4 linked regions of the Arabidopsis thaliana genome follow. The protein of the gene in region 1 interacts with the protein of each later gene in a pairwise test. Each region holds a gene or a part of one and is shown in the gene's direction. Other genes may lie near its edges. The genes, in order: NAC028, AT2G36340, AT2G27930 and DAR2.

What was found.
Region 2: the proteins of NAC028 (region 1) and AT2G36340 interact in a two-hybrid assay, tested with the Arabidopsis thaliana proteins (one large-scale study listed by BioGRID).
Region 3: the proteins of NAC028 (region 1) and AT2G27930 interact in a two-hybrid assay, tested with the Arabidopsis thaliana proteins (one large-scale study listed by BioGRID).
Region 4: the proteins of NAC028 (region 1) and DAR2 interact in a two-hybrid assay, tested with the Arabidopsis thaliana proteins (one large-scale study listed by BioGRID).

Annotation. Positions count from the first base shown.
Region 1 is NC_003070.9:24,519,200-24,527,874, reverse strand, and holds NAC028 (NAC domain containing protein 28), read left to right. Parts: upstream 1-3,614; 5' UTR 3,615-3,766; coding exon 3,767-3,923; intron 3,924-4,834; coding exon 4,835-5,112; intron 5,113-5,189; coding exon 5,190-5,522; intron 5,523-5,632; coding exon 5,633-6,004; intron 6,005-6,102; coding exon 6,103-6,193; intron 6,194-6,277; coding exon 6,278-6,942; 3' UTR 6,943-7,207; downstream 7,208-8,675. Other genes in the region: AT1G65920 (Regulator of chromosome condensation (RCC1) family with FYVE zinc finger domain-containing protein), read left to right, coding at 1-1,755, 1,841-1,987, 2,070-2,431, 2,521-2,608.
Region 2 is NC_003071.7:15,232,630-15,240,182, forward strand, and holds AT2G36340 (DNA-binding storekeeper protein-related transcriptional regulator), read left to right. Parts: upstream 1-2,857; 5' UTR 2,858-3,228; coding exon 3,229-3,447; intron 3,448-3,536; coding exon 3,537-3,824; intron 3,825-3,911; coding exon 3,912-4,049; intron 4,050-4,173; coding exon 4,174-4,281; intron 4,282-4,368; coding exon 4,369-4,860; 3' UTR 4,861-5,275; downstream 5,276-7,553. Other genes in the region: AT2G36325 (GDSL-like Lipase/Acylhydrolase superfamily protein), read left to right, coding at 1-266, 393-595; AT2G36330 (Uncharacterized protein family (UPF0497)), read left to right, coding at 991-1,511, 1,908-2,043, 2,475-2,669; AT2G36350 (Protein kinase superfamily protein), read left to right, coding at 6,274-7,553. UniProt on the Arabidopsis thaliana protein: Probable transcription factor. Involved in stress responses. Plays a repressive role in cell expansion by counteracting the positive role of CPR5 in this process, but does not regulate cell proliferation or endoreduplication.
Region 3 is NC_003071.7:11,889,078-11,895,593, forward strand, and holds AT2G27930 (PLATZ transcription factor family protein), read left to right. Parts: upstream 1-3,019; 5' UTR 3,020-3,165; exon of another isoform or gene 3,166-3,280; 5' UTR 3,281-3,291; coding exon of another isoform or gene 3,292-3,373; coding exon 3,374-3,799; coding exon of another isoform or gene 3,800-3,892; exon of another isoform or gene 3,893-4,258; coding exon 4,259-4,411; 3' UTR 4,412-4,651; downstream 4,652-6,516.
Region 4 is NC_003071.7:16,617,502-16,626,780, reverse strand, and holds DAR2 (DA1-related protein 2), read left to right. Parts: upstream 1-2,630; 5' UTR 2,631-3,122; coding exon 3,123-3,213; intron 3,214-3,292; coding exon 3,293-3,474; intron 3,475-4,263; coding exon 4,264-4,351; intron 4,352-4,470; coding exon 4,471-4,588; intron 4,589-4,877; coding exon 4,878-4,998; intron 4,999-5,113; coding exon 5,114-5,197; intron 5,198-5,281; coding exon 5,282-5,401; intron 5,402-5,502; coding exon 5,503-5,715; intron 5,716-5,809; coding exon 5,810-5,872; intron 5,873-5,961; coding exon 5,962-6,077; intron 6,078-6,157; coding exon 6,158-6,225; coding exon of another isoform or gene 6,226-6,284; exon of another isoform or gene 6,285-6,499; coding exon 6,500-6,831; 3' UTR 6,832-7,038; downstream 7,039-9,279. Other genes in the region: eIF6B (Translation initiation factor IF6), read right to left, coding at 7,189-7,446, 7,551-7,792, 7,878-8,008, 8,115-8,217, 8,313-8,322; HOS1 (ubiquitin-protein ligase), read right to left, coding at 8,979-9,141. UniProt on the Arabidopsis thaliana protein: Acts redundantly with DA1 and DAR1 to regulate endoreduplication during leaf development.

The DNA of each region.
Region 1 (8,675 bases):
GATCGTAGTACAGGTTCAGAACTTTGCAGGTTTTCATCACAAAGATTTGCTGCTTCTCCTCCTCTTTCTATCATAACACAGCCGGTTACAAGATCCAATGTCCTTAAGGACATTATGATATGGGGAGCTATAACGGGTCTTATCGATGGATCGAAGAATCAGAACGATGCGTTGTCTCCTAAGCTTTTGGAATCTGCTACGATGTTTGATGTACAGAGTATATCTCTAGGTGCAAAACATGCTGCGTTGGTTACAAGACAAGGTGAAGTGTTTTGTTGGGGGAATGGAAATAGTGGGAAGCTTGGACTTAAAGTTAACATCGATATCGACCATCCGAAACGCGTTGAGTCTCTTGAGGATGTTGCAGTTCGATCAGTGGCTTGTAGTGATCATCAAACGTGTGCTGTTACGGAATCTGGTGAGCTGTATTTATGGGGAATTGATGGTGGAACCATTGAACAGTCAGGAAGCCAGTTCTTGACTCGGAAGATATCCGATGTTCTTGGCGGATCTTTGACTGTTTTAAGTGTTGCTTGTGGCGCGTGGCACACGGCAATTGTGACTAGTTCTGGTCAGCTTTTCACTTATGGTAGTGGAACTTTTGGAGTTCTTGGACATGGGAGTCTTGAGAGTGTTACAAAGCCGAAAGAAGTTGAGTCTTTGAGACGCATGAAGGTCATATCTGTCTCTTGTGGACCGTGGCACACGGCTGCTATAGTGGAAACCGCGAACGACCGGAAATTCTACAACGCCAAGAGTTGTGGAAAGCTGTTTACTTGGGGAGATGGCGATAAAGGACGGTTAGGACATGCTGATAGCAAGAGAAAGCTTGTGCCAACTTGTGTTACTGAACTCATTGATCATGATTTCATAAAAGTCTCTTGTGGATGGACTTTAACTGTTGCTTTAAGCATTTCAGGAACGGTTTATACAATGGGAAGCTCGATCCACGGACAGTTAGGATGTCCGCGGGCAAAGGATAAGTCGGTAAATGTTGTTTTAGGCAATCTAACACGACAATTTGTCAAGGATATTGCTTCAGGTTCACATCATGTAGCTGTTCTAACTTCATTTGGAAATGTTTATACTTGGGGAAAAGGCATGAATGGACAACTTGGTTTAGGTGACGTTAGAGATAGAAACTCTCCTGTTCTTGTTGAGCCTTTAGGTGATAGGTTGGTAGAAAGTATAGCTTGCGGGTTGAATTTGACGGCTGCGATCTGTTTACACAAAGAGATCTCTTTGAATGATCAAACCGCTTGTAGTTCTTGCAAATCAGCTTTTGGATTCACAAGGAGAAAGCATAACTGTTACAACTGTGGTCTATTGTTTTGCAATGCATGTAGTAGCAAGAAAGCGGTAAATGCTTCGTTAGCACCGAATAAAAGCAAGCTTTCTCGGGTTTGCGATTCTTGCTTTGATCATCTATGGAGTATAACAGAGTTTTCAAGAAATGTTAAGATGGATAATCACACTCCGAGGATGCAGATGGTTACACGAAGAGTATCTGAGGATTTGACAGAAAAACAATCAGAGAATGAGATGCAGAATCTTCCACAAGCTAATCGATCTTCGGATGGACAGCCTCGATGGGGACAAGTCTCTGGTCCTTCTCTGTTTCGTTTCGATAAGATTTCGACAAGTTCTTCTTTGAATCTTTCAGTCTCAGCAAGGCGAACATCTTCAACGAAGATTTCAACCTCGTCTGAGTCGAATAAGATCTTAACCGAAGAAATCGAAAGGCTAAAAGCCGTGGTAATTAAACTACTTCTTTTTGTTTTCTTACCTGTAACAATAGTAACACATTAGACACTAAAGATACATTTTTATGAACATGTAGATAAAAAATCTCCAGAGGCAGTGTGAACTTGGCAATGAGAAGATGGAAGAATGTCAACAAGAGCTCGACAAGACATGGGAAGTTGCTAAAGAAGAAGCAGAGAAATCGAAAGCTGCTAAAGAGATAATAAAAGCCTTGGCATCGAAGGTAAAAGATACATAGTTTTTTTTAATCTTTCTGTTTTTGGTTTGTTATGTGACCGACATTTTCACGGTATCTTTGCTTGCAGCTCCAAGCGAATAAAGAGAAACCGAGTAATCCTCTGAAGACCGGCATTGCATGCAATCCTTCTCAAGTCTCACCAATCTTTGATGACTCAATGTCCATTCCATACCTCACACCAATCACCACAGCTCGTTCACAACACGAAACCAAACAACATGTAGAGAAATGTGTCACGAAATCCTCGAACCGTGACAGCAACATTAAGCTATTAGTAGATGCATCGCCAGCCATCACAAGAACAGGGTATCTCCAAAACGAAACACAAGACTCGTCAGCAGAACAAGTTGAGCAATACGAGCCCGGTGTATATATAACTTTCACGGCCTTGCCTTGCGGTCAGAAGACGCTTAAACGCGTACGGTTTAGGTAAAAAAATGTTAATGTGCTTTTAAGTGTTTATATAGTTTGAAGTACGCTTAAGTATTTATATGATTGGTTTCTAACTTTGGTTGCAGTCGGAAGAGGTTTTCAGAGAAGGAAGCACAAAGATGGTGGGAAGAGAAGCAGGTTTTGGTCTATAACAAGTATGATGCTGAAATATGAAACTAACTTTTGAGTTTACTTCTTCGAATGTATTTTAATTCATTTTGATGTTTGTTAGTGAATATATGTAATGCAGAAAAATTTCTTTATTTAAGAAAAAATGAAAAAAAAATACTGGGAAAAAAATTCCAATATATGATTAATAAAAATATTTTAATGATCATCTAGGAAATATATATGCGAGTTAAGAAAAATGTTTGTGATTTTGAGCAATGAAGAAGACTTGCATAGTATGTAAATGTAAGTAGAAATATATCTAACATGCTATCTTCAAAATGCGATTGGTTCAATATTACCATTGAGGCATTGACCACGAGATAGAAAATAAAATGATGTATATCAAATATAAAACTTTCATTCTATATTATAGAAAACGTAATAATTGACTATGAAATGTGGCTTAAAATGTGTGAAAACAGTGAGAAAGCATCTCAAAAATTAACAACGTAAAAAATAGTTTACTTATTATGTTTTCTTAAAACCTTACATTAAGTTCTAGTTGTTGAAAATTCCTTATAAATATGTCAAATATGTCACGTCCTTACGTTGGTCGATGCCAAAAAATATGACGAGCAAAAGTTATTAACTAGTATAGGTTTATACATATATATCCGTTTTTACAAGCAAAAATAGTTATCAAATTGTCTTTAATTGGTTACTTTTAATATTTTCACTAGGAGCAAAACTGATAAATGAAATTGACAAATATCTAGTCTATATGCATAAACACGTTACGCATGGATGAACAAAAATAAACATGTTTAGATGAATTATAATGAACGTGAGTTTTCCAACATTGAACATGATACCGAAAAAGCTTATTAAGAACGTTACTGAGAATCAAATTTACACGGAAATATATAAACACATTAAAGTAAAAAGAAAAGTTAAAGTGGAAAATATGTTGTGGGGTTTGCAATTGGCAACCGACCCTAAATGCTTTTTCCAGCTTCTTTTACATAATTTTAATCTCTTTTTGTCTTTCTTACAATTTCATCACTGATCGATCGAATTCAAACCCTTATGTTACGCTTCTTTCTTATATAACTGTCTCTTCATATTCTCACTCCTTCTCCTCCCTCTTCTCCTTTTTCTCTCTTAAGTTCTATAAATGTTCATATTTGTTTCTAGCTAAGAAGTTTGTATAAGGCAGTGGACATGGCTCCTGTTTCAATGCCTCCAGGTTTCCGGTTTCATCCAACAGACGAAGAGCTTGTCATATACTACCTCAAGCGAAAGATTAATGGTCGGACTATTGAGTTAGAGATAATACCCGAGATTGATCTTTACAAATGCGAACCTTGGGATTTACCTGGTATATTTCTCTCTTTGCTTCTTTTTTTTCTTTTTCATAAGATGCAAATCTATCATTTTTTTTGGTCATCCGCAAGTATTTACCATGGACGAAGGTATAAATTTATGATTCTGCATCGTTAGTACATCAACATGTTGTGTCTCATGTTAAAGAAATTTTAAATGAGACCATACCATAGCAACCGAAGGAGAAGACTCTATCTGGTTCTTTTCTAATATGTCATAATCATTTGATTGATATGCTTAGTGTAAGATCATTTTTTTTTGGAATTTAGTAAGAATAACGAAAAATAGATTCATTTTTCTGAAAACTACATAATGTGAAACTAATGTTTGAAAGGGTAACCCTTGAGAGAAGAGACACTTGACGTCCTTTCTTTTTCGAAGATAGATGTTCTTTCCCTCTTTTTCCTTAACATAATATAATTCCCATTTTATTTTCACATTTTTACGTACCAAGTTATGTATCTCTAGTCACGCATCGAACTTGGAATCGAACGTGAATGCTTTATCAACTAAATAATCTTTAATAATTATGATCCCAACTTTATGTTAGAATAAAATTTAAATGGACCCACCCTTATCTTTAGTCTTTAAAAGGATTGTAATAAAACCGAGAGATGCGGTGGTGACTAGTGTGAGACAAATTCGGAAGACCGAGTCAAAAAAGGTAAGAAGATTGAAAAAAAAAGATAATAAGTAACTCACAATAATTTCACATGTGCTTTAGGGTTTTGGAAGCTTCTCATTCACCTTCAACTTTTTGTTTTAAATATAAAACAATCTAATGTTCTCTTTATTTGTCTTTTCTTTTTTAATCTTTTGGATTCTCATGACATGTTATGGAATCTTTAAGTAGTGTGTACAAATTAAGATTGGATATAATTTATCTTAATTGTATGATCCTTGCAGGGAAGTCCTTGCTGCCAAGTAAAGACCTAGAATGGTTCTTTTTCAGTCCTCGAGACCGGAAATATCCAAACGGATCAAGAACAAACCGGGCGACCAAAGCAGGTTACTGGAAAGCCACCGGGAAAGATCGTAAAGTGACTTCACATTCACGGATGGTTGGAACAAAGAAAACATTAGTTTATTACCGAGGAAGAGCGCCTCATGGCTCTCGTACCGATTGGGTCATGCACGAGTACCGTCTTGAAGAACAAGAATGTGACTCTAAATCCGGTATACAGGTAAGCTAACTTTTAAAAAGGTTATCAAAAGATTAAGATTCTTAACTTGAATATAAACCAATGTATAAACATTTCAGGATGCCTATGCACTTTGTCGAGTATTTAAGAAGAGTGCTTTAGCCAACAAAATTGAAGAACAACACCATGGTACGAAGAAGAACAAAGGAACGACTAATAGTGAACAATCTACTTCTAGTACTTGTTTGTATTCTGATGGAATGTATGAAAACCTCGAAAACTCGGGGTATCCAGTCTCACCTGAGACAGGAGGCTTAACTCAACTCGGTAATAATTCGTCGTCGGATATGGAAACGATAGAGAATAAATGGAGTCAGTTTATGTCGCATGACACGTCCTTCAACTTCCCACCTCAGTCTCAATATGGAACAATCTCATATCCTCCCTCGAAGGTAAAATTTAAACTATATATCTCAAAGAAATACAAAATTAAAATTGGTGAATATGTAACCTTTTGTTTTCAAACTAATCTCTTATCCATTGAATTCTCCTCATATAATAGGTTGATATAGCGTTAGAGTGTGCAAGACTACAAAATCGTATGTTGCCACCAGTACCACCACTTTACGTAGAAGGTCTCACACACAATGAATATTTTGGAAACAATGTAGCTAACGATACAGATGAAATGTTGAGCAAGATTATAGCATTGGCTCAAGCCTCACATGAGCCACGAAACAGTCTAGACTCATGGGACGGTGGTTCTGCTTCCGGGAACTTCCATGGAGACTTTAACTATTCCGGAGAAAAAGTCTCATGCCTAGAGGCGAACGTGGAGGCTGTAGATATGCAAGAACACCATGTGAATTTTAAGGAAGAAAGACTTGTTGAAAACTTGAGATGGGTAGGAGTATCAAGCAAGGAACTTGAAAAGGTAGTGATATTTTACAATGTTAAGTGCAAAATATTTTATGTGTTAATATATATGTTATCAAATATAAGTATATGTTTGATTTATTCTACAAATTTCAGAGCTTCGTTGAAGAACACTCAACGGTAATTCCTATAGAAGATATTTGGAGATATCATAATGATAATCAAGAACAAGAACATCATGATCAAGGTAGCTTTCACTTCGCGATTTCTACATTTGGTTGTCTTTCTTGACATCTCTGGATTTGATTTTTTTGTTTTGTTGTTGTTGAAGATGGTATGGACGTTAACAACAACAATGGAGATGTGGATGATGCTTTCACACTCGAGTTTTCGGAAAACGAACATAACGAGAATCTTTTGGACAAGAACGATCATGAGACAACGAGTTCCTCATGTTTTGAGGTGGTAAAAAAAGTTGAGGTTAGCCATGGATTGTTTGTCACAACTCGTCAGGTAACCAACACATTCTTCCAACAGATAGTACCATCGCAAACCGTTATAGTTTATATAAATCCGACGGATGGCAATGAGTGTTGTCATAGTATGACATCAAAAGAGGAGGTTCATGTCCGTAAAAAGATAAATCCGCGAATCAACGGAGTAAGCTCAACAGTTCTTGGACAATGGAGAAAATTCGCGCATGTTATTGGCTTCATTCCTATGCTTCTATTGATGCGTTGTGTTCATCGAGGTAACTCTAACAAAAACAGAGGCAGTGAAGGTTACTCGAGGCAGCCTACGAGAGGAGATTGTAACAATCGGGGAACAATACTCATGATGGAAAATGCTGTCGTGAGAAGAAAAATTTGGAAGAAGAAGAAAGAGAAAAATATGGTTGACGAACAAGGTTTTCGGTTTCAAGATAGTTTCGTATTGAAGAAGTTGGGGCTTTCTCTTGCTATCATCTTAGCTGTTTCTACCATAAGTCTTATTTGAATACTGAGGTTCAATATATCATATATGGCTTTTCACTTTTCTATTGTACTCCCATTTGCCTAGGTCGTATTTACTCTCATTTGCTTTTTCCATTTCTCTAAAGTCGTCTAAACAAAACTAGATTTGGTTATTTTCTGTTTATGTATTAAGTGATATGATCTCTCCGCGGGTTGAACGATCAGTCTTCTGTCTGGTTTTTATTATTATTATTATGTTTGCATGCACGTAAGACGGTAAGAGCAGATTATACGAACATTAACAATTTAGCCATCTTGTATTTCAGTATTTTAGTCACTATAGATATGTGAGTAAGTTTATAGTCATTTTCATAATAACTTGTTTATTATAACGATTGCTGTTCCATGTTTTGCAATGTATAGATCATCAAAAATTACTATCGAGCTATTTTGTTCTTGAATCTTGACAGATAATATTTAAGAATAACCTATACGGTTCAAACTGTCGGTTTCAATATTAAAACAAATGTGAATGGAAGATAGAGAGAGGAAAAAAACCTCTCTTACAAAAGAATCTAGGTGCGTCAGAGAAGCTCGCCAATCTCATGGAGCCAAGATTTGCTTTCCTGGCTCTTAATAGTTTGTATGGATCGGCGATTGAAACTTCATTATTCTCTCCCAAACAAAACATAGAATAAACGAATGTGTCTAACGCTGAGTGAAGAGGACTAGACGGACTTGCCCCGTCATAATATGCATATTACGATACGTTGCAACATTAACAATGTCGTGAGTATGCATATCTCATAACATACCAAATATCGATACGTTTCAACATTGAATTTTTAATATCTTAGTCATTAGCAATTAATAATTAAATCTTCTTTTATATGAACAAATTTATGATTTACAAAAAAAATAGATGTTATGTTTCCATGGATCATGTTTTCAAGCTTGACCGAAAACAAGCTGCTAAAAAGTGTCATAAAAGTTTGGTACTAGTACAACTAGGATTTTGTAACTCTAGCACAAGAACCAGTTCAAAAGATGATTATGCATACTGGATTTTTATAGATATTGTTGATTCTTGCATGGCAATCAAAGAGTTTGGCAGCTAGGTATACCTTTAGGGGTGATGTCGACACCTCTCATCTAGCCTTACTTGCTGAAGTATAACTACAATTGAATCTCACTCCCCCTACCAGAAACTGTTTCCTTCCTCATCTTCATTAGGATCAGATCGGATCACAACAACAAACTTCGTCGAACTCAACCACGATGGACAGTGGTGGCTGAGGTTCGTTGCCTGTTTTAGGGTTGAAGATTGAGATGCGTTAAGTGACTTGTGAGACTTTAAGTAACACACAACGACATAATTTAGGGTACTTGGGCCTTAATGGGCTGGATTGGAGTGTTACAATATACAAAGTTCATCGGAAGTTTAGGTTTATTTTAAAAGATGTTCAATGTGGATCCTAATTTCATGCGTTTTAAAATACTTTAAACATAAATCCCAACCAAAAACAAAAAACTCCCAATATCCTTTGAAATTTACAAAGTTCTTTGAAAGTTTAGGTTATTTAAAACATTGTTCCGTTGAAATATGGATCCATTAATTTTCATGCGTCTTGGTAAGATGTATCATATTATGGATATGGCTTTGAGCCTTTGACTTTATTCCTACTTTAAAGTTACAACTTAAATCCCATTTAACCAAAAAAAAAGAAAACAAGAACTCCCATATCCTTTGAAATTCAAGAAAAATTAATGATACAG
Region 2 (7,553 bases), on another chromosome or scaffold:
GATTTTGTTGGATGTGAAGCGAATTAAGGATTTAGGAGTAAGAAAGGTGTTAGTGGCTTTATCACCACCGCAGAAATGTTTGCCGAAGCTTGTCACTCCTAAAGGCTGCGACACCAACGACACCTCGACGTACCTCCACAACAGTCTTCTCCGCAAAGGACTGATAAAACTAAACGATAAGGAGATTAACAATAATGATAAAAGTTTCATGACGTTAGATCTCTACAATGCCTTTGTGACCATATTCAAGAACAAAGGAGTTTCAGGTACGTAAGATATATACCAACACTGTATATGACCAAACATAACCGATCACGTCTTTGATAGATTAAACAGAAATACATATACCTAAATAGATGGGATATATAATATAAATGTTTAAATTTGGGCAGGAGTTTCGACATTTCCGGATCCGTTTAAGGCATGTTGTGCAACAAAACGAGGTACCTTTTGTGGAGATAGAAGCTTGAGTGGTAAAAAGTTGTACACTCTTTGCGATGATCCAAAATCATTCTTCTTTTGGGACAATGTTCATATCAGTGATCAAGGATGGCGTTCTGTTTTTTCTCTTCTTCTTCCTGATTCACAGTTTTAAATCAACTAGATCAATATGCAATAATTCTCCATTCTAATGATATATGATGATTATCAATTGTCTTCATAACAATGCATACAAAGATTATTTCAATACCCACTTAAATAATAATTATTAGCTAGAGACTCTAGTCTAGAGTCAAAACCAAGGGCCACAAAGAACAAATCAAAGTTTTAGGTGCGAATTGTCAAAACTAAAATAGTGGGGCATTATACGAAAGAACCAAGAATACAGGGAGAAGTAGACAAAGAATCTTGCAAAGTCTTCTTTCTGTGTTTGATTCTCATCAAAGACTTCACTTTTGTTCTTTGTCGCTTCAATTCAACGCTTATTCCTAAATTCGATTTTGCGTTGTCAAATTCCTTAAATTTCGTTACAAAGGTTTGATATTTCCGATGAGATCTCCAGCAAAGACGATGCCGTCGATGTCACCTTCTTCAGTTTCCACGGAGAAATCTCCACCTCCGTCAGATACTTCAATGGCTATAGTAGCTTTCGATAACTCCACTACTCACTTCTCTTCTTCTCCATCGCCGCCACATTCTCTTGATCATTCCAGTGAATCGGAGAAGGAAGATGCGAAAAGTAAACCCGAGAGTAGAAGAAACAAGAATCCTGGAAAGGTTGAGGAAACTCCATCTCCGATTGTGGTGGTTCATAATCACAATCGCTCTGTGAAAGAAGTGGTTCCGACGAGAAAGAGTGCGAGAGTTGGTTCTGGGAGAAGTAGTGGCCAACGATCTGGAGCTGTTTCGGCTATTTTGAGAAGGTCTAGGAGAGAAGAGGTGGTAAAGTTTTCAGCTTTAGGGTTTCGGTTGAGTGAGGTTGTGTTGGCTTTGATATCTTTCTCAATTATGGCTGCTGATAAAACTAAAGGTTGGAGTGGTGATTCTTTCGATCGTTACAAGGAGTACAGGTAATTATTTGTTGTGTTTGTGCTTATTTCTTCGCAGATAGTGATGTTTCTTGAATTTAGGTTCAGGGTTTATTTTAGGGTTTAGGGTTTTATCAGTATCACTAGTGTTGGTTTTTTGATAAGAAATTTGGATTACTTTAGTTTTAGTACATGTGAATTGTCTTTAACACTTGCGTGGTCCAAGTCTATGTTTTGGTTGAACTTGGTGAAGTCCTTAAAAGAAGTAAAGTTTGTTCCTTTTGACATTGATTTTGATTTGTTGGATCGTAAGAATTCATTTGCAGTTTCCATTTTGTTGTTTTGGTCAAACATTTGAAGTCAGTTTAGTATGATTTGATTTTTGATTTTGAGACTAAACTGATTTATCTATGTGTCATCTTCTGATATCTGTGACAGGTTTTGCCTGTCTGTGAACGTGGTTGCTTTTGTATATTCTAGTTTTCAAGCATGTGACTTAGCGTACCATCTTGTCAAAGAGAAGCATTTGATCAGCCACCACCTTCGACCTCTGTTTGAGTTCATTATAGATCAGGCAAGTCATTAACACTTATGCTGTACTCTCGATGGTATTCCTTTGTTACTTTCGTTCTTGTATGAAGTATGATCTACGTGGTTGCATCTAGGTGATGAGAAAAACTTGGCTATAGATAATTCCTGATACTTTGACTTGCACCATCTGCTGGTATTTACCCTGTCTCCTGTGAATCAAAGAACAACACTTTGTGGTTAAAGTCCAATATTGTTACTCTTTTTCTTTATGCTTTAGCTTATAGCATATGTGGAAAGGGATTTATCTTATAGGTCGGAAAACATGGTGAAAGTGACTGTTATACTTGTTTGACCAAACTACTCCCTTCATTACATAATTGAAATCTCTTTCGTCCCCTGCAAAACATTTCAAAAGCATGTGTAAAAACAGATGGAATTATGAATAAGAAAGGTTTGTTTTGTTTGTGCAATCAGGTACTTGCATATCTGCTTATGTCTGCCTCAACAGCAGCAGTCACTCGCGTTGATGATTGGGTTTCAAACTGGGGAAAAGACGAGTTCACAGAGATGGCAAGTGCCTCGATTGCTATGTCCTTCCTGGCCTTCCTTGCCTTTGCTTTCAGTTCCCTCATTTCAGGCTATAACCTATTTAACCAAGGCTCTCTCTGATCCTCCCACCTTTTTGTATAGGTCCACACTCCTTGTGTGATGTATAATAAAAATGATCAATATATCTTAGCATTGTAATTATTATACTATTTTTGTAGCCTATATAAAGGTTTCCAAAAACTATGAGGTTAATAAGAGAGGCATATCCTGTTGTCAAAAGGGTCTTTATAGCCAACTAAATAAAGACTCTGACAGAGCAAAAGGCAACAACTTTTCAGCTCTTGAGCCATATGAGTGTCCTCGATTGTAAATGAGACCTCAGACTTATCCATTGTGCATCTTGAACCCTGAAGAAGGAAGAAGAAACCATCTTGCACAAGCCCAATGTTTAAAAATGGAAAAGGGTATTTTAGTCATTTACGTTTTCGACACTCGGACTTCCTAGTTCCTACGCCTGGAGAATATCAATAGCCGCCAAAGGATTGATCGTGCTTTTGCTTCGTATCGTCTCTGGGTTTTTAAATAGAGAGACTCGAGAGACTCTGTTTGACAATAGGGTTTTGAGCTTTCTGAGAGTTTTATATAACTTGACAAAGTTTTGATCTTTCATCACCGATCAATGGTTGGTACGAAGAGAGTTGCTGATTCCATCGACACCAACTCGGATGACACACTCACGAGGAACCGTGAGGTTGAAGTTGAGGCGATGCTCAGTAGGAGAAAGCAACTAAGGACAACAACGACGAGGACAACAACGACGAGGACAACACCATTGAGCTTGTCTTCCTCTGCTTCAAAGATGAACTGGTCTAAAAACGATGAGCTTGTCATTCTCGGGGTTAGTTAGTAAATTCTTTGCAGCTTCTCTATATTCTTCTTTATCCTCTTCTAACTTTTTTTACTCTATTTTGTGTGTGTGTGTAAAAGGGTATTGTGGACTATGAGAATGAAACGAAATTGAGCTATAGATCTGACTGGGATGCCTTGTACCGTTATATCAAAGATTGTGTAGAAGCAAAGTTTTCGAAGATTCAGCTCATCAATAAGGTCAAGAACATGAAGAGAAAGTTTACATACAATCAGGGGAGATCTAACCATGGGGAACAACTTTCTTTTACTAATACTGATGATGATGAAATCTTCAAATTGTCATTGATCATATGGGACAAGAATGAATCAGAGTATGTTTCTAATGAGAATATAGACCAAGCTAAGGTGAGTGTCTTTGTTCTGTTTTTCAACAATCTCTTAGACTACTAATGTGCAATGAATTAATGATCTTGTTTTCTTGATTTGCATAAGGATGTTCCTTCTGGTGAGCCAGAGACTAATGATGTGCCTTGTGAGGAGCAAGACGATAGGGATGTGCCTTGTGAGGAGCAAGAGCGAGCGAATATCGAGATTGATAATGGTGTGAGAGAGAAATTGGACCAAGCCAAGGTGAGTGTGTTAGTTCTGTTTTTTCTACCAATCTCCTTGTTACCATCTTAAAACATGATGTAAAAAATTGTGTTACTAATGATGTGCAATGAATTAATGATCTTGTTTTCTTGTTTTGAATAAGGATGTTCCTTGTGTGGAGCAAGAGAGTGAGGATGTGCCTTGTGTGGAGCAAGAGCGGGTGAGTATAGAGATTGATAATGGTGAGAAAGAGAAATTGGACCAAACCATGGTGAGTGTGTTTGTTCTGTTTCTACCGATCTTCTTATTACCACCTCAAAACATGATTTATTGATCTTGGTTTCTTGTTTTGAGTAAGGATTGTGAGGAGCAAGAGAATACGGATGTGCTTTGTGAGGAGAAAGGCGATAAGGATGTACCTTGTGAGGAGCAAGAGAATAAGGATGTGCCTTGTGAGGAGCAAGAGCGGGTGAGTATCGAGATTGATAATGGTGAGGAAGAGATGAGTAGCGAAGAAGATGGTGTGGATGAGGTAGGTGTTATGGAGGACACACTTGATTCTGGGATATCGTTTCAAGGTTTAGGTAAAAATGGTGTGAAAGACAAGAGTGAAGAAGATGATGTGGTTGAGTTGGGTGTTCTCCAGGAGATATTTAAGGAGGATACATTTTTTCAAAGTTTAGGTAGATATCAACAAAAATTGCTGCTTCAGAATTTGGAAAACGTTGGAGTTGAAAGAAGAAAAGAGCTCATCAACGAATGGAAGGCATTGTTTGTTGATGAGCAGCGATTGTGTGTCAAGAAACTAACTTTCGCCGCAAAGCTTGCAAACTTAGGAGTTTCTCCTTGATTCAATGAAGAAAAATCTCTGCTTTTGGAATGATCTCATTTTTTTTTGGTTGTGTCATATTGATAAGAAAAAACATGATGTATCCACGATCCGTTCTTGTTCTAGAGCCAGGTAACTGAGGTAAGTAACAGTTAGAGCTAACCATAGCAGATTCTCCTTTTTTTAGTGTTGTGTTTGTTTCGACTCTTCCTTTTGGGTTGGGCTTCGATAACGATTGTTCAGGCCCACTAACATTCTTTTCTTATTGTGCGTCTGTCTCTTTCGAGAAAAAGACACAAGCACTTAAAGCCAAGATTCGCATTTTGCCACATGCCACTAATTTCACCTTGTGTTAGATATTATTTTTGTACTACACACTCAACGAAGACCATAGATCAACTCAAAATATTTATTACACAACAATTATCGGAGAAGAGATTGATGTGAAATGTAATGAAGACGAAAAGAAAATAAAAAAAGAAACGACGAATTTGGACGTAATTTTCAGCCAAAACATATGCTTTGGGTCCCACACTTTCACATTTCAACTTTATCATCACACCGAAACACTAAACACCAAAATCCCCGACAAATTTAAAGAAAATTTTTCCATTTTTTTTTTTTACTCTATCTCTGTGAGAGATTCTCTTCAAGCTCAGGCCTTTAGGCTTTAGGTTTCTTTTGGGAGTCTTCTTGAGCTCTGTAATCACTCTCTAGAAGCTTATTTTGCCTCCTAATGTTATTAGGTACGTCTTTGTATCTGTACTTGCTTCTGCATTTTTCGATATTTGTTTCTTTTGATGAGATTTGGGGACTCTTCCTTCAGAAGGATTTGAAGATTTTGACATCTTCCATTAAAAGTTGAATCTTTACTTAAGCTAGTGTTCTTAGCATTCTGTTTATGTTAGCTTCATGAGATCTGGGATCTCGAGGCTGCTTTTTTTTTTTGCTTTGATTTCACATTTAATGGGTTTTGATTACATTTTCATTAGGTGAAGTGAGTTGAACTTGGCTTGTGGTTTTGATGAATTTCTTTCTATTAAAAGTTTTGGTTTCCCTACCAAAAAAATGTCTTCTTTTTGTTAATTAAAGTCTAAAAGTAGCTAATCTCTATCTGTACTTGTGTAGGGTTCATCATTTGAGTCTATAACTATAATGACTTTCACTGTTCATTTCCTTTTTAAATCTCTTGTTGTTTCCCTTTCCTTACTTTGTTCATCATTTCTCCTTCCCTTTACTCAATAGACACTGCTCTTCCTTTGGATTATTGCTCTGTGAGTTATTTAAAATAAGCCATAAGGTCTCTTCTTATGATTGTTGCAGGGTGTTGTACTGGAATTATTAGGATGAACCAAGGAAGATGAGTCTCTCGGTCTTTCAAAAACCAAGTCTTGTAATGAGGAGCTGTCCACTGTTGTAAAGTAAGTCATTAAGATGGAATCCTTTGCAGGTTCTTGTGAAATTGTTGAGGAGAAGGATGCGGTAAGGTTAGCCAAACATTCTAGCAGATATTGTATGTCACCTTTGGGATCAAGTAAAGATATGGAGCAGCGTCCTGCATTGAAGTCAGGGTACCAAGGTTCTATGGAGTATGACATTGATCAGCTTTTCCAGTCTATAACTATAAAACCATCACCTAGAAGAGTGATGGGCTCTTCTTTCCATCATCTTGAGACGAGCGCAAGTGCTGGTACGAGCAGGAGCACAAGCCCTTCAAATAAAGGCGCTATGAAAAAGCCCTTTCCCATGGGAACCCCTCGATCACCAAGAGTTGGTCCCTCTGATTCAATATCTCTGAAGCAGGCTCTGAGAGATCTTTGCATCTCCAAGGCATCAGAAATGGCTTCCCAGAAACGTTTATCAAAATCTGCAGCTGCATCTCCGAGGGTTTCTGAAGCAGACAGGATAAAGACTCTTTACAGACAAGTTTTGAATGAATCTGCTGGCAAGCCTGGGCTTCCTGTGGACAAGGGTAAAAGCTTGGTTGAAATATCTTTGACGCCGGTAGTCGATATACCCAGCTCCTCCCAGAGTGTACCTCAGCGGTATGATGTCCTTGAGACAGAGCCATCTAACTTCATTTCTGAACCATCTCAGGCTGAAATCCTTCTCCACGTACTTGGAAATGGGTCGGGAATAAAGACAGTGGGATATGGAATGCTGGAGACTGTATCACTGTGTAAATCCAACAAATCTGGATCTTGTCTCAGTTCTGGCAGTGGAGATTATGAGATAGAGATAGATGAAAATCATACATCTCCTCCTCATATGGTCATTGAAGATCAATTAGTGGAAATCGACAAACATGTTACCTCGCTGCCTTCTTGTTCTGGCAGCAAAGTTGATACTGAAGAGCTAGACAAGAGCATCGTCTCATCAGCTAGAGTGAAAAGTGAGCCAACAGCTTTGAGCTCAGGGTTAAAAGGAAAGTTGGATAACTTTCCTGGTTCAGGAACAGAGAAGAGCAAACTGGTAAGCAAGGTGACAAGAAATATCCCACGTCCCAAACCGCGGCCGAAGAAGAAGATATTGCTTAAAAAGAAGCTAAAAATCGTTGTAAATTCTGCTACAAAAATGGTTGAGGAAGTCGATACTTCCTTAGAGCCTAGTGCAAGTCAACTTCTGTGCCAGAAGTGCCACTGTGCGGTAAAGAGCACCAGCACTGAAAACCACCCGCCCTCGAATACTAGTCATACTACTGATAAAAATGTCAG
Region 3 (6,516 bases), on another chromosome or scaffold:
TGTGATTGTGGGAGAGGGAGAGAGAAAAGAAAATTTGAGAGGGATAAAGACACTATAGGAAGCAATATATTATGGAGTGTCAAGTCATTAAGTCAATGCTATTGGTTCAACCTTATTTGGTATATATATACTATATATTATATAATGAAAATTCACTAGTAAAGATAGAATGTCAGCTAAATTCTTACTGTAATTATTAACCAAAAAGTAAAAGAAATATTTTCTTCCATAAGAGAACATTAATATTTTTGTTTTGTTTTTCTGACAGCAATAGGTTGTGATATTTTTGGATAATTTTTTTTGTAGCACAAAATTTTGGTCATCCACATTCTGTTCTTGTTTCTTGGCTTCGTAGATTGATTGCTAGATCGTAGATAAACGTGTACGACGGAATAAAGTATTGTGGTCATGAAAAATATCGGTATGGTTATTTCCGATGAACCTCCACCACTCAAGGAAAAATGGATTCATTCGATTTGAGGGAAACAGAAGAACATCACGTAAATTATGTTATTTATTGTTTTTGAGCGAGTGTTGTTTTAGATTATTACTTTTCTTAAGACGAAACTAGGTTTGATTAGCCTTTTTTGTCTATGAAGTGTAGATTGCTACTTATAGTGTTCTGCCTAGTGTCTATACTGGATTTTGGATATCGGGCCTGAGTTTATGGGTGGATATTTACTTGTTGATCTTTTGCAAGACAGCAAGAGCAACGTAGTAGTAAAAACAATCTCCTTGGTTTGCTTCTTAGATGATGCGGCCGGCACGAATGCAACTATGACACCAAAAAAGTGGTTTCCACTCATTGATTACGAATAGATTCATGCGTAAGTCCGTTATCCTTTTTAATAAATACCGTAACTGAATTTATTCTCAAATAGTAAGAGATGATAAAGCAATTTGATATTTAGCTATTCGGGGAATTAACGTAAGGTCGATGCAACAACTACTCCACATGTTGGCTATCAGTATTGCGTCACTTTCTTGAGCTAAAAAACAGATAAGAGGAAAATAAAATTTCAAAAAAGTACATCTGAATATTCAGGCAATTTAATATCTTAACTCATACGTACATGGCCAAACTTAGCTTTCATGTCAGAAGTTTGATAAAAGTTTTCAATTCCAAGATAGTATATCTATTCACACAAAACATTCCGATTTTAAATTATGTTGTTACTAAATAATAATAATAATAACGACGCAACTATAATTAATTAGGCTAACTATAACCATATTTGTTTTATAAAAACAAATTAAAAAAAAAATTAAGTTAGCATACGAAAAAGGTGACAGGCCAAAACACATTCAAACCCATCTGAATTCACATTTTCTATATTTTTTATAACAAATAATTTTCTTGCATGTTTTATACACAAAGAAATTGACATCTTATGTTTCTTTTTGTATAAAATAGCATGTCAATTTCTACAAGGTAAAGGATTTTTCCAAGTAATTATCCATGGATTGAACCCTAGATTCGTATTTTCTAATTGTTATTCTTTATTTCGAGCACAAGACATCGCATAATTTTTTTTGTCAGTTAATTTTTTTTCGCATATATAGAACCAATCAATCTATACTCTATATGTGAATACCCGAACGCCTAACCTAATAAAAGCATACTAAACTGAAGGCAAAAAAGGTTCAAAACCAGGTCCATTAGAATGCCCAATAGAAAAAGTCACTTAGGGAAATATCAACTAACTCAAAAGGAATAAGAAGAAATGGGCTCCAAACTCAATCACTGACACACTGGTCCTGATCGGATGCTCTCCATCTCAAAACGGCACGCCCAACCACGTAGGCTAGCACCCTCCCTAAAGAGTAATTAGCGGGCATTTTCCCCCATCATATTTGAGGTCCACCGATTAGTGTGAACTTTAGTTTACGTGTTTGTAATATTTTTTTTTGTCTGTAATATTTTAATTTATTTTTATTTTGTTCCAAATGATCGATCTTCTCAACTAACAAATCATTCATGCAGTTTTACTTGATGAGGGATTTCATATACAATTTTACAATTGACACTACAAAGAGTCAAAGATTTACATTAGAAGGTTCTCTCTACACCATGCTAATGATAGACAAATTTACCCTTTGACAGACCAGACCACTCATCAGACGTGGCCGTCATCAGCCGAGTTAACTCCTTGTAATCTTTCTCAAAAGCAGTATCGGTTAAAGATAGTGAAATGAGGAATGTCATCACCTAGAAAAGAGATTCAAATTTTGCATGAGGGGATAAACAGTGTTTGAAACTCTTTAAACTAAGTTGAATAATGTGGTTGTTCGAGCCAACATTCCATCTAATGTAGTTTAATGTTGGCTCGAACAAAAAGATCAACCTTACAAACCAAAAGATTAATACCAAGTGGAAAATATTGATAATTTATGTATGTTTCTTTTGGACGTACACGTTTCAATAGTTTGAAGAATTTCTTAGGTAAACCATAAATTATATATGTATATATATATATATATATATATATATATTCTTCTTCATTTATTGATATAGATATGTCAAAATTAGAGTATTACCATTATAATTTTTTGGTTATAATTAAATTCCAAGTTGGAACAAATTTTGATCTCTTTAATTTGACATATGTTGATAATGTGTGTTTCTTTTGGATGTACACGTTTCAATAGTTCGAGAAATCTATTATTCAAATCATAAATGTTAATTAAATATATTTTAGAAACATTTTTTGAATTTAATTATTTTCATATATATATATATTAAATTTAAAGTATTATCATTTAATATTTTGGTTATTTTTGTAGTCAAAGTTGGAACAAATTTTGATCTATATACACATTTAATTAGCTTGTAATTTTGTCATCAAACTCATTTACTCAATGGCCTCATCCAACGGTTAGGAATCAACCTTAACCAAACATCATATCTAATTATATATCCTTTCCCTTTCCTCCCCCAATAAACTATTAACAATAAATATTTAATAATTAAGAGAAGAATTGAAAAGATATCTACCAATCCTAAATAAGAAGAAAAAAACATAAAATCTTCATTTATCAACAATAAAATAAAATTTATATCTTCCTTTCTCTCTTACCCTTAAAATCTGATTTTTCCTCCTCTTGTCTCAAAAATCAATCATCTAATACCCTTTCTCTCTCCCTCTACTGATCATCTTCATAAAGGTAATGCAAATGGCAAGAGCATGTTCTTCGTAATTTATTACATTGTTCATAAGGTTTTGTCTCGCTCTTCCCTTTTTGTATATATTGTAATTATTGTCTAAGAAAAACAAAACAGGAGAGAGATTAATGGAGGAGCCGAAATGGCTCGAAGGTCTCTTAAGAACAAACTTCTTCAGCATTTGCCCTCGACATCGCGAGACACCGCGAAATGAGTGCAACATGTTCTGTCTCTCCTGTCAAAACGCTGCGTTTTGCTTCTACTGCCGCTCCTCCTTTCACATTGATCATCCCGTCCTTCAGGTCCTTCATTTTCTCAACACACAATGCATACACATATATATATATATCACTTTTGACTCAATCCAATTCTTTATCATTAACATTGAGACAGATAAGAAGATCGTCGTATCATGATGTGGTGAGAGTATCGGAGATAGAGAATGCATTGGACATAAGAGGAGTGCAAACTTATGTCATCAATAGCGCGAGGGTTCTCTTCTTAAACGAGAGACCTCAGCCTAAGAACTCCTCCCATGGTGCCGCCTCCTCCACTCCGAAAACCATGTCCTACTTCTGTGAGACATGTTGCAGAACCCTTCTTGATCCCTTTCGCTTCTGTTCCTTGGGTTGCAAGGTTCGTTTTCCTACACCTTTTCTCAATGCAAAATTCCTTTTTGTAGCTGGATGGATAAATCATGAGCAAAAACCTGTAAACTTCATATCATAGAAAAACGAATGCATAGTTATAAGTCAATCTATCTAACGAGCACTTTACAACTGGACCAACAAAATTGGTTTATCATATTTTCATCATTATTACTAATATCTTCGCATTTATTTGTCCGATATAAAATGAGGAATCGGTTTAAGGATACACCGTATAATGTTTAGTTACTTGTATGGTAAATTCATTGAATCAACTATATTCAAACTCGCTTAATACATGTTGTTTGCCTCATATAATGTATCTTAAGAAAATATATACGAGGTTAGATGTTTGTATATATGTATATGGTACATTTTGCTCAAAAAAAAAGTATATGGTACATTTGCATAACGGAAATGTATGATGTGATCATAATAAAAATGTCAGGTTGAAGGAATGAGGAAGAATAAGGAAGAGGAAGAAGAAAGATTGCGTAAAGAAAGACAACAAGAAACGCACAAAGGCACGCATCCTCCAACTCATACCTCTAATTCTAGGCGACGAAAAGGCATTCCTCATAGAGCTCCTTTTGCCTCCTAATTTAATCAATCTTTTTCAAGAAATAAAATAAAACTTTTCTTTAACTTATTTTTATCTTTTTAAAATCATCAGTTAATGGTCCACCCAAACATAGCATAGTATATGCGTATTGGGTGGGTGTATTTATATATTCCCAATTTGTACAATGTCCAGCTCACTTCTCACAATCCTCTCACATGGAAAACCAACAATTTGTATAGAAGAAAATCCTAATTTCCCTATATTTTTTTTTTGTAAAACATTAAATACATTTCTAGCTAATTGTATAACATATATCTATACTGTAGGATTGTAGGATGGACTCTATTTGATATACTAATTAATTTTTGTGAAATATAAGTCTTACCTTTAAAACACATTATACAAAAATTAAGAGTTCAAAAAGACTCTTTGTGGAAGGAAGGAATAACATGAAAATTTAGGCATTAGTTAGACTATGAGAATGTCGGTGGAGATATACTGTATACTTTATTTCCGAGTAGATAATCTAATAACTAATCGATGTGGTGGTTTGAAGTTACCTGTCTCTATATCCATCTAGCTACTAAATATTTTAGTTTAGACTGAAATTGTGTGGGGTTTAGGGATCAATAATTGTGTATCTAAATGGTTTTTTTTTTCTTTTCTTTTTTTTTGGGAAAATATCTAAATGGTTAAGGGACATGAATGTGTATATGTTTTGTATAGACACATGAAATGTTCTTCGACATTAATTCTAAGCTGTTATATAATTAAAATAGTTTGTCGTAGGCGTTAGGTATTCGAAAGGTACAGTTACTTAAAAAAGAAAATGAAACTTTCACTTATTTACATAAATAATTTAAGTGGTAAAATTTTACGTAAAGGATGGTCTTATTTTAGTACGCATCGACCTTAATTTCCTTCACGTTCTACATAATATATTATGGCACTTTAAGAAAAAACTAGGTTATAACATTAATTATGAATTACGTGTTGTCGTTTCTCGAGAATAATTAGAGAATTGTGGAATTGTACAAAAGTAATAATTGATGCATAATGCATTGGTAGTATAATTCTCCAAGAGGAAGTCAAGCTCATGTTGCGGTTGTTGATCGCACTGCGAGAAGCATCGATCTCTTCAGCTTATAGTCAGATCGATTCTTGGATTCTTGATTCAGGAGCCTCTTTCCACACTAATGCTCCCTAGGACATAATGGAGAACTATGTTGCCCAAAATTATGAGAAGATATCTCTAGTAGATGGATTATCTTTGGACATTGTTGGTGTTGAAGACATTAACCTGAAGATGTCAGATGAGCTTGTATGGAAAATCACAAAGGTTAGACATGTCCGAAAGTGATGTGAAATCTATTTTTTGTTGGACAATTTGATGATACATGACACGATATCAATGTTGGTTGTGGAGCTTGAATAGTGACAAAGGGTTCCATGACAGGTACAAAAAGCTATAAAAGAGACACTATTTATATGACCACTAACTATGAAGATATATATAGTTGATGTTGCCGAAAATGCCTAAAACAAAACTGAGTTGTGGCATTATAGATTGAGGCATATGAGCGAGAAATGTATGAATTTCATGGTAACAAATGGTGAATCTCCAAATTTAAAGATATTAAATCACTACATGTATGAAAGTTGCATCCTTGGAAAGCGGAAACGGGTTAGGTTTTGAGTGATGGTAGGAAGTTGAAATCTAAGAAGTTGGAGCTAGTACAAAATAACTTGTTCGAACCTGCTTATGTTGCATCGCTAGGAGTATCACACTATTATGTGACTTTCATTGATGACTCCAGTATGAAGTTTACTTTATGAAGAACAAGTATGGTTGAGATAAATCTCAAATTGAGTGTCTAATATCTGATAATGGTAAAGAGTACATTTGCGGTGAGTTTATAAAATACTGCGCTGATAATAGGATTACAATGGAGAAAACTATTCCTGAAATGCATCATCAAAATGAAAAAGTGGAGATTGTGACTAGAATTTTGAACGAGCGTGCAAAAAACTTGTGACTCCAGTGTAGATTGCCTTTAGATATTTTGGACAAATGAAATCAATACCGCAACCTTCTTGAGGACCGTCTGTTATATTCCAATGGGATTCAAGATCCTTGAAGAAAC
Region 4 (9,279 bases), on another chromosome or scaffold:
CTGAATCCAAAATAAATCCGTCCACCAAAAACCCAACTTTAAAAAACCCAGATGGATTTTTGATTTAGTGGGTAAAGCCCGAAAAAACCTGATTGTTCCGAGACTACCTGTGGGTACCCAACTTGATTTTTATTATTTTCTTATAATTTATGTTTAATTGTTAATATACTATTATATGTATGTTGTATCTATATTTTGCTTATAAATATATTTTAAATTATATTTATTTTTTGTATTACATATATATTTGATGGGAAAAATGTTAAATTGCGTTTTTGGCGGGAAAATGTTAAATTGCGTTTTTTGACGGAAAAATGTTAAATTGCGTTTTTGGCGGGAAAAATGTCAAATCCTTTTCTTGGCCGGAAATGTTGAATGTCGTTTTTGGCGGAAAAATGTTAAATTGCGTTTTTGGCGGAAAAATGTTGAATATCATTTTTGGCGGGAAAATGTTAAATTGTGTTTTTGACCGAAAAATGTGAAATCTTTTTGGCGGAAAATGTTGAATGTCGTTTTTGGCGGGAAAATGTTAAATTGCGTTTTTGGCGGGAAAATGTGAAATCATTTTTGGCGGAAAAATGTTGAATCGCGTTTTTGGCGGGAAAATGATGAATTGCGTTTTGGCGGAAAATGTTGAATGTCGTTTTTGGCACGAAAATGTTGAATTGCGTTTTGGCGGGAAAATGTTGATTGTCGTTTTTGGCGGGAAAATTTTGAATGTCTTTTTTGGCGGGAAAATGTTGATTTTTTTTTTGGTGGTAAACTGTTAAATCGCGGTTTAGGAGAAAAAAATGTGAAATCTTTTTTGACAAAAAAATGTTGATTCACTTGAAAAATGATTTTAAAAAAAATCGTGGGTACCCATAACCCAATGAGGTAAACCCATATGTGTTTTATTTATTTGGATACCCAGCCCATTTTAAACCTGTGTTTTATTTCCAGAAAAAATAGATCTATGAGCTTAAAATTTTATGTGTGTTTTGGGTACCAGTGGATTTTAACCCATCATTAACATCTCTAGGTACGGTACTCTAGTGGTGGCCTACATTGGTTGATAAAGTCATAAAGTCAATATCGTTTAAACATGCAAATGCAAATTTTATGGACCGGATTAAGTCGGAATGATCCGTATGTTGAGGCTTGAAAGAGCCCATCAATGCAATGGAAAATAGTCGTCTCTTTTCTTTTCCTTTCTTTTCTTTACGATCATAAAGTTCTCTTTTTTTTTGGGTGAATATTGTAAAGGTTTTGAGTCATTCTTTCCAACTCAATTCCACGTTTCTCATCTCTCAAGGCTTTTTACTACAAAAATCTTTACAGATACAAAGTTAGAGATTTATAACAACTTGGATAAGATGTCTCATGCATGAGATAAGAGAAAGTAAATTCTTGTATTTTAGGTGATTAAAGGAATAAAGACATATGCAGCATTTTTGCATCGGCTACTCAAACTCAGCTAAATTCTTCGCTATATATATATACTTTATTTTGTTACAATAATTGTATCAGACTAATACAACTTGATCCATGTGTAGGAAAGTTTCAATAAGATTGATCGTTTTTATGTTACCAAAAATAAAAAAAGATTGATCGTTTAAAAAGTCATTCTTAACAAGAAATAAATACTTGTTGAACTAGAAGTCTAGAACAAATACATTTGTTCAGACATTTTAAATTGTAAGATTAATTACATTCACAAAAAAAATTGTAAGATTAACTGAGGAATATAATGATGTAATAGGAAACTAACGCAAATGCTTAAAATGTTTTAACATTTTCATGATGAAAAATAAGTAAACATCTTTGGGGGTATAGATACTTAAGATAAAATATATAACTTGACAAGAAAAAAGAAAAGATAAGCATTTTCTTTAAATGAGAATTCCCAAAAACAAGCAGCCTTAATAGAAAATAAGTTATGGATCGTCCATACAGAGATCGACTTTAGCAAGTTGATAAAGAAATGGTCAGATCTCAAGGTGGAAACTGTTGCTGAAAAAAGCTAGATTTGATCTGATGCTGTCTTTAACCCAAAATATTAATTTGATCCCAAAAAAAAGGTAATTTAATCGAAAGAAAGAACTTAAACATGACAATAGGTTAGGCTTTTGTTCTGTAAAAATTGGGTGTCTGATTCCACTTTGAAGCCTCTCTTTCACCTTTGCTGCGTCATCACCGGTCACGACCTTCCTATAGATTGATGCCTCAAATTATAAATAACAATATTATTATTGGTCCGTCGTTTGTAATGTCATAAAAGCTTAATTCCCATTATAAAGTTGTCTGTGGTAACGTTGCAAAAGCGCATCTTTATCGTGTATTAGAGTATGACCTTTGTTAATACGCCCATATTATGTATAGTGCAAACATTGTTATACTACTTCTCATGGATTCATGAGTCGGATATTTGAAACCCAAAAACAATTACAAGAATCATACAAATTTTGAAACTAAAGTTTTAGTTAAAAAATAAAATGACATATCTTCAATGTAGCTATAGATTCATTAAAAACTCGGTGAGGGTATGAGACCATAAAAACAAAAACAAGGAAAATTTAACAAAACCAAAGTTTAAAGGCAAATAGTTAGAGCCGATGGAACGAGCGTCTCCATCAAAACCCAAAAAGAAGAATTTTTTTTTGCTTTCGTTTACAAATCTAACTTTTTGGTTTTTCTCCCCAACAAAAAAAAAAAAAATAAAGTGTAAAAAGAGAGAAGCTTAAAAGGTTTCAACTATCTTCCTCCTCCCCACACCGTTGCTTGAAGGATTCTTCCGCCTCAGCAAAAACCAAAAAGACAAAAATATTCTCTTAAAAAAACATCTCTTTCTCTCTGTTCCTTTCCTTTCAGAAGCTAAGCATCTCTTCCTTTTCTTTTTCTCTTTTAATTTTTTTTTGCCCGATCTCTTCTGCAAAGATTCTCTCTTTCTTTCTTCTCTTTTCATTTATGTTTTCATTCTCTAATAACAAATTGTAATGACTTATAACTTCTTCTTCTTCTCCCCTCTTCCTTCTTCTTCCTCCTCCTCTTCTCTTCTTTGCTTCTCTCTCCGGCCGTCGTTTTCGCTTTACTCACACGTTTTCAAGTATATTTAATCACGTGGGGGCCATTTTTCCATCCTCATGGATTCTTCTTCCTCTTCCTCTTCTTCTTCTCCTTCTTCTTCCTACGGTGTTGCTCGTGTCAGCCATATCTCCAATCCTTGCATCTTCGGTGTGTTTTCTTTTCTTACCAAATTCTATTCTTGAGACTAAATATTAAAAGCGTAAACCTAACGTTTTGATGATTACAGGGGAAGTTGGGTCGTCATCTTCGTCAACGTATAGAGATAAGAAATGGAAGTTGATGAAATGGGTGAGTAAACTTTTCAAGAGTGGCTCGAATGGTGGTGGTAGTGGTGCTCACACTAATCATCATCCTCCTCAGTTTCAAGAAGACGAGAATATGGTCTTTCCTCTACCTCCTTCTTCTTTGGTAATTATTTTCTTAATTATACTCGTTTAATTTGAAACATCTTTTCTTTGAAAAAATATTTCTATTTTAATCTACACACAAATACTATAGACATGTGATTTTTCATATTAAAAGCAATATACAGAAGACATGTGAACATACACTACTGTTTTACTTTTTTTTTTTTTGCTCGAGTTGTTTGAAACAAATAACATGGGTCATGTACATTCTGTAAAATTGTCACATCTTTGAATGAGTCGGTCCATTTTGTATTTTATTGTTGTCATGAGTCTCGTTGGGTTTTGATGCTCAAATTGAGATGATGTGACAATGTGGCCTTGAGCACTATTAGGGATAACAAAAATAGGTAGAAAATGGTTTATAAGGTTGGTTCAATAAGGAGTATTTATTAGTGGCCGAAGTTGAGATATTTTCGATTCATTTTCATGTATTATTCGATTAGATTCCAAAGTTACATAATTACTATATTATTATATGCTTTAATTTGATTGTTTATTAAGATTTATTTCTTAATTCTGTATAATCAAAATATTTCAACTTTTAAAAGTTAAAATGAACTACCTAGCTCATTGTGGTTAGGAATATAATTTTAATCCATGAATGAAATAGATAAACTGAGGTGGCCTATTTTGATACCTTTTTTTTTTTGTCAACCTGTTTTGATACCCTTATGCATGGTGGTGGAAAATTATTTTTATCTGAAATATGCTAATTTGTTTCATCAACTATTTTCTTGATGCCATTTCAATATTTTTTTAATGGTCATGTCAACGAATAAACGAATCACAGGATGATCGGTCAAGAGGTGCACGGGACAAAGAAGAACTCGACCGTTCAATTTCACTTTCTCTAGCTGACAACACGAAGCGCCCACATGGTATTTCTATCTACTTTCATGAATTAAAGTATTTGTTAGCAAAAAAAATTGAAGTTGGTTAAAAACGTTATTTCTATTGCATTAGAGAATGAATTTTAATTATGAAATAAATCGTGCAGGGTATGGTTGGTCTATGGATAACAACCGAGATTTTCCAAGGCCTTTTCACGGTGGCTTGAATCCATCATCTTTCATTCCACCTTATGAGCCTTCCTATCAATATAGACGAAGACAAAGGTACAACAAAACACATTCTCATAGTGAAACAAAAAAAAAATATTCCTATCAAAAGTAAAATAAAAATAAGCTGTTTATTGTAGCATTATTTCAAAAATACCTACGTCACGAATTTCCAAATAAACCTTGGTTCGAACTTTTAATCGTGACATTGCAAATTATGGAAACAAACTTAATATTTTCATTTCTTGAAACTTGATTTCATGATCAACTATCGTAGAGAATATAATTTATTTTGCAGCCATTTCCAAGTGCACATTGGTAACGTGGTTTACGTGATTTTTAGCAGAATATGTGGCGGTTGCAATAGCGATATTGGATCGGGGAACTATCTAGGATGCATGGGCACATTCTTTCATCCTGAATGCTTCCGTTGCCATTCTTGTGGTTATGCTATCACTGAGCATGAGGTATACATATATGCACACATATATATATATATAATAATCAATATACTCTTAATTTGTGTTAATGTCCTTCTGAAGTGACTAAGGTTGTGTGTTTTGTCTTCTCTCTTGATTCAAGTTCTCTCTGTCAGGAACCAAACCCTATCATAAGCTTTGTTTCAAAGAGCTTACTCATCCCAAATGCGAAGTTTGTCACCATTTTGTAAGCAACGTTACAATCACCTTGAAATTTTTTTTAAACATCATATATTTTTATATTAGTTCCAATTCCATATTCTCTCCTCAGATACCAACTAATGATGCTGGCTTGATCGAGTATCGATGCCATCCGTTTTGGAACCAAAAGTATTGCCCGTCTCACGAATATGATAAAACTGCTCGTTGTTGTAGCTGCGAACGTTTGGAGGTAATCAAATACAAATAATTTAACTATTGATGATAAGTCCATATCTATTCTTTTTTAGCAAATTAATTGTGTTTTTTTCTTTCTATGTTGTGATCATGTAGTCATGGGATGTGAGATATTACACGTTAGAGGATGGGAGAAGTTTGTGTTTAGAATGTATGGAAACCGCGATAACCGATACTGGAGAATGTCAACCGCTTTACCACGCTATAAGAGACTATTACGAAGGAATGTACATGAAACTTGATCAACAGATTCCTATGCTTCTTGTTCAAAGAGAAGCTCTCAATGATGCTATCGTAGGAGAGAAAAACGTAATATCTTTTAGCTTATACATAACCATTTTTGTTATAGTTTCTCTCAGAATACAATAAGAGTTAATCCTAGATATATCTGTATGTTTCACAGGGATACCATCACATGCCTGAGACAAGAGGTTTATGCTTGTCTGAAGAACAAACAGTTACAAGTGTATGTCTCTTCCTGGAAAGTTACTTGAAATTTTGATTCTAAACAGTAATTTTATTTTGCTCTGTTTTTTATTTTTTGGTTCTTCACAGGTTCTTAGAAGACCGAGACTTGGTGCTCACCGTCTTGTTGGTATGAGAACTCAGCCTCAAAGGCTTACACGCAAATGTGAAGTCACAGCGATTCTAGTTCTTTACGGGCTCCCGCGGTACTACACTACTCACTCAATTCTCAAATTCCCTTTTCGACAGTAAATGACTACTAACCTAATCACTTTTGTGGATGAAGATTACTGACCGGAGCAATTCTCGCCCATGAGCTCATGCATGGATGGCTAAGGCTTAATGGTACATACTGTAAGATTTATTTGGAGGTCACACATGTATTAATCAATCTGTTAAGAGTCATTATTTAATATCAAAACCTAAGTGGTCACCTTAGTATAAAGTAATTTTCAATCACTTTCTTGTCTTACACGAAAAGTAGGAGGAGGGGAAAACTAGGTTTACGGTTGTTCGTTTTTTTTTTTTGTTAGTTAACATTAATATGATTTTGTGTTATATGCTACATCTGTTTTGTTAACTATAACTATCAGCATCTTAAATTCTTTTGATTTCTTGTTTCTATTAGGGTTTAGGAACCTTAACCCTGAGGTAGAGGAAGGAATCTGCCAAGTCCTCTCTTACATGTGGCTTGAATCTGAAGTTCTCTCAGATCCTTCAACAAGAAACTTGCCTTCAACATCATCGGTGGCCACATCATCATCATCATCCTTCTCGAACAAGAAAGGAGGAAAATCAAACGTGGAGAAGAAACTTGGAGAGTTCTTTAAACATCAGATAGCTCATGATGCGTCTCCAGCTTATGGAGGAGGTTTCAGGGCAGCAAATGCAGCGGCTTGTAAGTACGGTCTTCGTCGAACACTCGATCATATCCGCTTAACTGGAACTTTTCCTTTGTGATCAGATTTAATGTTATGTGTCATCTTGCTATATGTTCTTGATTTGGATTTGATGGATCACACAGCGTTTGTGTTAACTTTAAATAGAATCTCAAGACAGACTTTATCTCCCCTTGGATTTTGAATGGGGATATTTGTTGCTTGGAGATTTTATAAGAACAATGACTGAATACTAATAACAAAAAAAAAGGCTTTATTTCCAAAGAAAGACCAAAGAAATTGCTGATGAATGATAATCAATATGTTTCCAAAATCTTAAACTGGAACAAGAAGAAATTACTACTTAAAACCAAGTCATAAAGAGCAGCTCCTTGAACACATTTTGGCATAAACAGTAAAAAAAGAAAACAAGAAAGCGTTAGACATAGGTATCGATCAAAGACTTCCTCATTTCACTACCGACGAAATCAGGCTGAGATTGGACTAGTTTGAAGATATTGTTAACAACAGAGAGCTCTACTGCAGTAGTATCTGACCCACAGAAAGCGGTCCAATCGTTCACAGTCAAACCCGCGGATATAACTTGGCTGCCACGGTTCACGGTTCCTGCAACCAAAGGCACCTGAACAAGATTCGCTAGCTCGACCATTTCTTCCACGTTGGTATTTGAGTGAACCTGTACATCATATTAGCTAGTCAGGTGATTTTCTAGTGAGACAAATGCCACAAAACAAAGACGAACCAAAAGAATGGGTGTTTTTTATATAGTTGTCTACTAACCATTCCACCATTATTGGATAAAGAACAATAACTTCCCACAAGTTCGTTATTCGCAATGGTTTGGCGATAAACTTCAACACCAAGAACATCACTTATTATCTCTTCGGTGTCTTTCTCGAGCTTTGGATGCACAAGCGCGACATAGTCATTGCAAGCTATAGCGTTTCCAAGTGCACATATAGGTTCTTCAATTCGTTGGACTACAACTTCATCAGGCAAACTATCTCTCAAATGTTGAAGCTCTGTTCACATTATAAAATAGTCCCTAATTAATAAAAAGATTATTACAATAACTATATGAACTTGGAATAGTGGAAACCAAATCACCTTGGTCTGTAATGGTGTGAGACAGAAGAAGTCCGTTTTTGTTTCCGACACATAGACTACCAATAGTCCCTGATCCTCCTATGGAAGTAGTAACAATTGGGATAACACCTTTTAACTTCGACTCATAACCACTACAAATAAATTAATTAAAATTACAAGTCATAGAAAAACCAAACTTGTACGTGAAAACTTAATTAGACAATGTGAAGACTCAAGAGTGTATGTATGTATATATACGTGAAGAAGTTTGCGGAGGCAGATGTTGCGGAAACGAGACAATAAGCATTTGTGAGTTTGGAAAAGACACCAATTTCGCAATTATTGTTATCATATTGAAGACCTGCCAAAAACAAGAACAGAAAAAAAAAGAACAATCCTGTAAGCAACTTGAAAAGAAAGCATCGTATAAAAAGCTAAAGCTTAAGGGAAACTCACGAGTCGCCATGATATGGATCCAACAAACACCTGCGGAATTAAGTAACACGAAAACCTAATATGAGATTATGAATTTCAATACAGATCCAAGGCAGAAACAGAGAATGAAAGATTTAGGTTTTCGGATCATTGGTTATGCTATATTGAAAGATTTAGTTTTAAGGTTTACCTTGTCGACAAATCGGAACAAAAAGTGACGGAACGATAGGAAGAGACCCTATTCTCTCTTCCGAAAACCCTATTTATATATCAGAAACTTGGAACAAGCTTATGCTACTTATTTCCATTTATTAGTTTTGGTAAATAATAAAAAAGTTAAAAATTAAAATTTTGAGAGGAAATTGTGAATGTAAAAAGAAAATGATTTAATCTCAATGTGTTGTTATAACTTCTACGATTCAACAATCAGCTGCACCAATATAAGAAATTAAACATACTCATAATAATAATATCACTCCGCTCATCACAATGATATCTTTAAAATAACTGTCCAAAAAAGGTAGACTAGAGAAGAAATACACAAAATTCAGCACAAAAAATAACAGGAGAACAACGCTCACTGTAACAGTCTCTCTCCCCTCTTTACACAACTTGCTCTACCTCTCTCTCTCTTTCTCTATGCTTTAAACATAATTGATGATGGTCTTTTCGAGTGTTTGTTTCATTTCATCTTGCTGCGAATCTACGTCTCCTCCTTCCCTTCACCGGCATGGAACCAAAACTAGTCAGTTCATCTTCGTCATCGCTTGTTTCATCTGACCGCCATCTCAATCCACCACTGTTATTTCTGCTCTCCGTGGCCAAGACATTGTTGTTGTTGTCCTTTAAGCTGCAATTCATAATACACACAATTGATATGTAGCTCATCCAATATAAGACTAAAAGCCGTGGACATAAGAACCAAACAAAGTTCCTTAGACTGAAACCAAACTGGACTTTATTTTCAAACCAAACGGTAACAATAGTT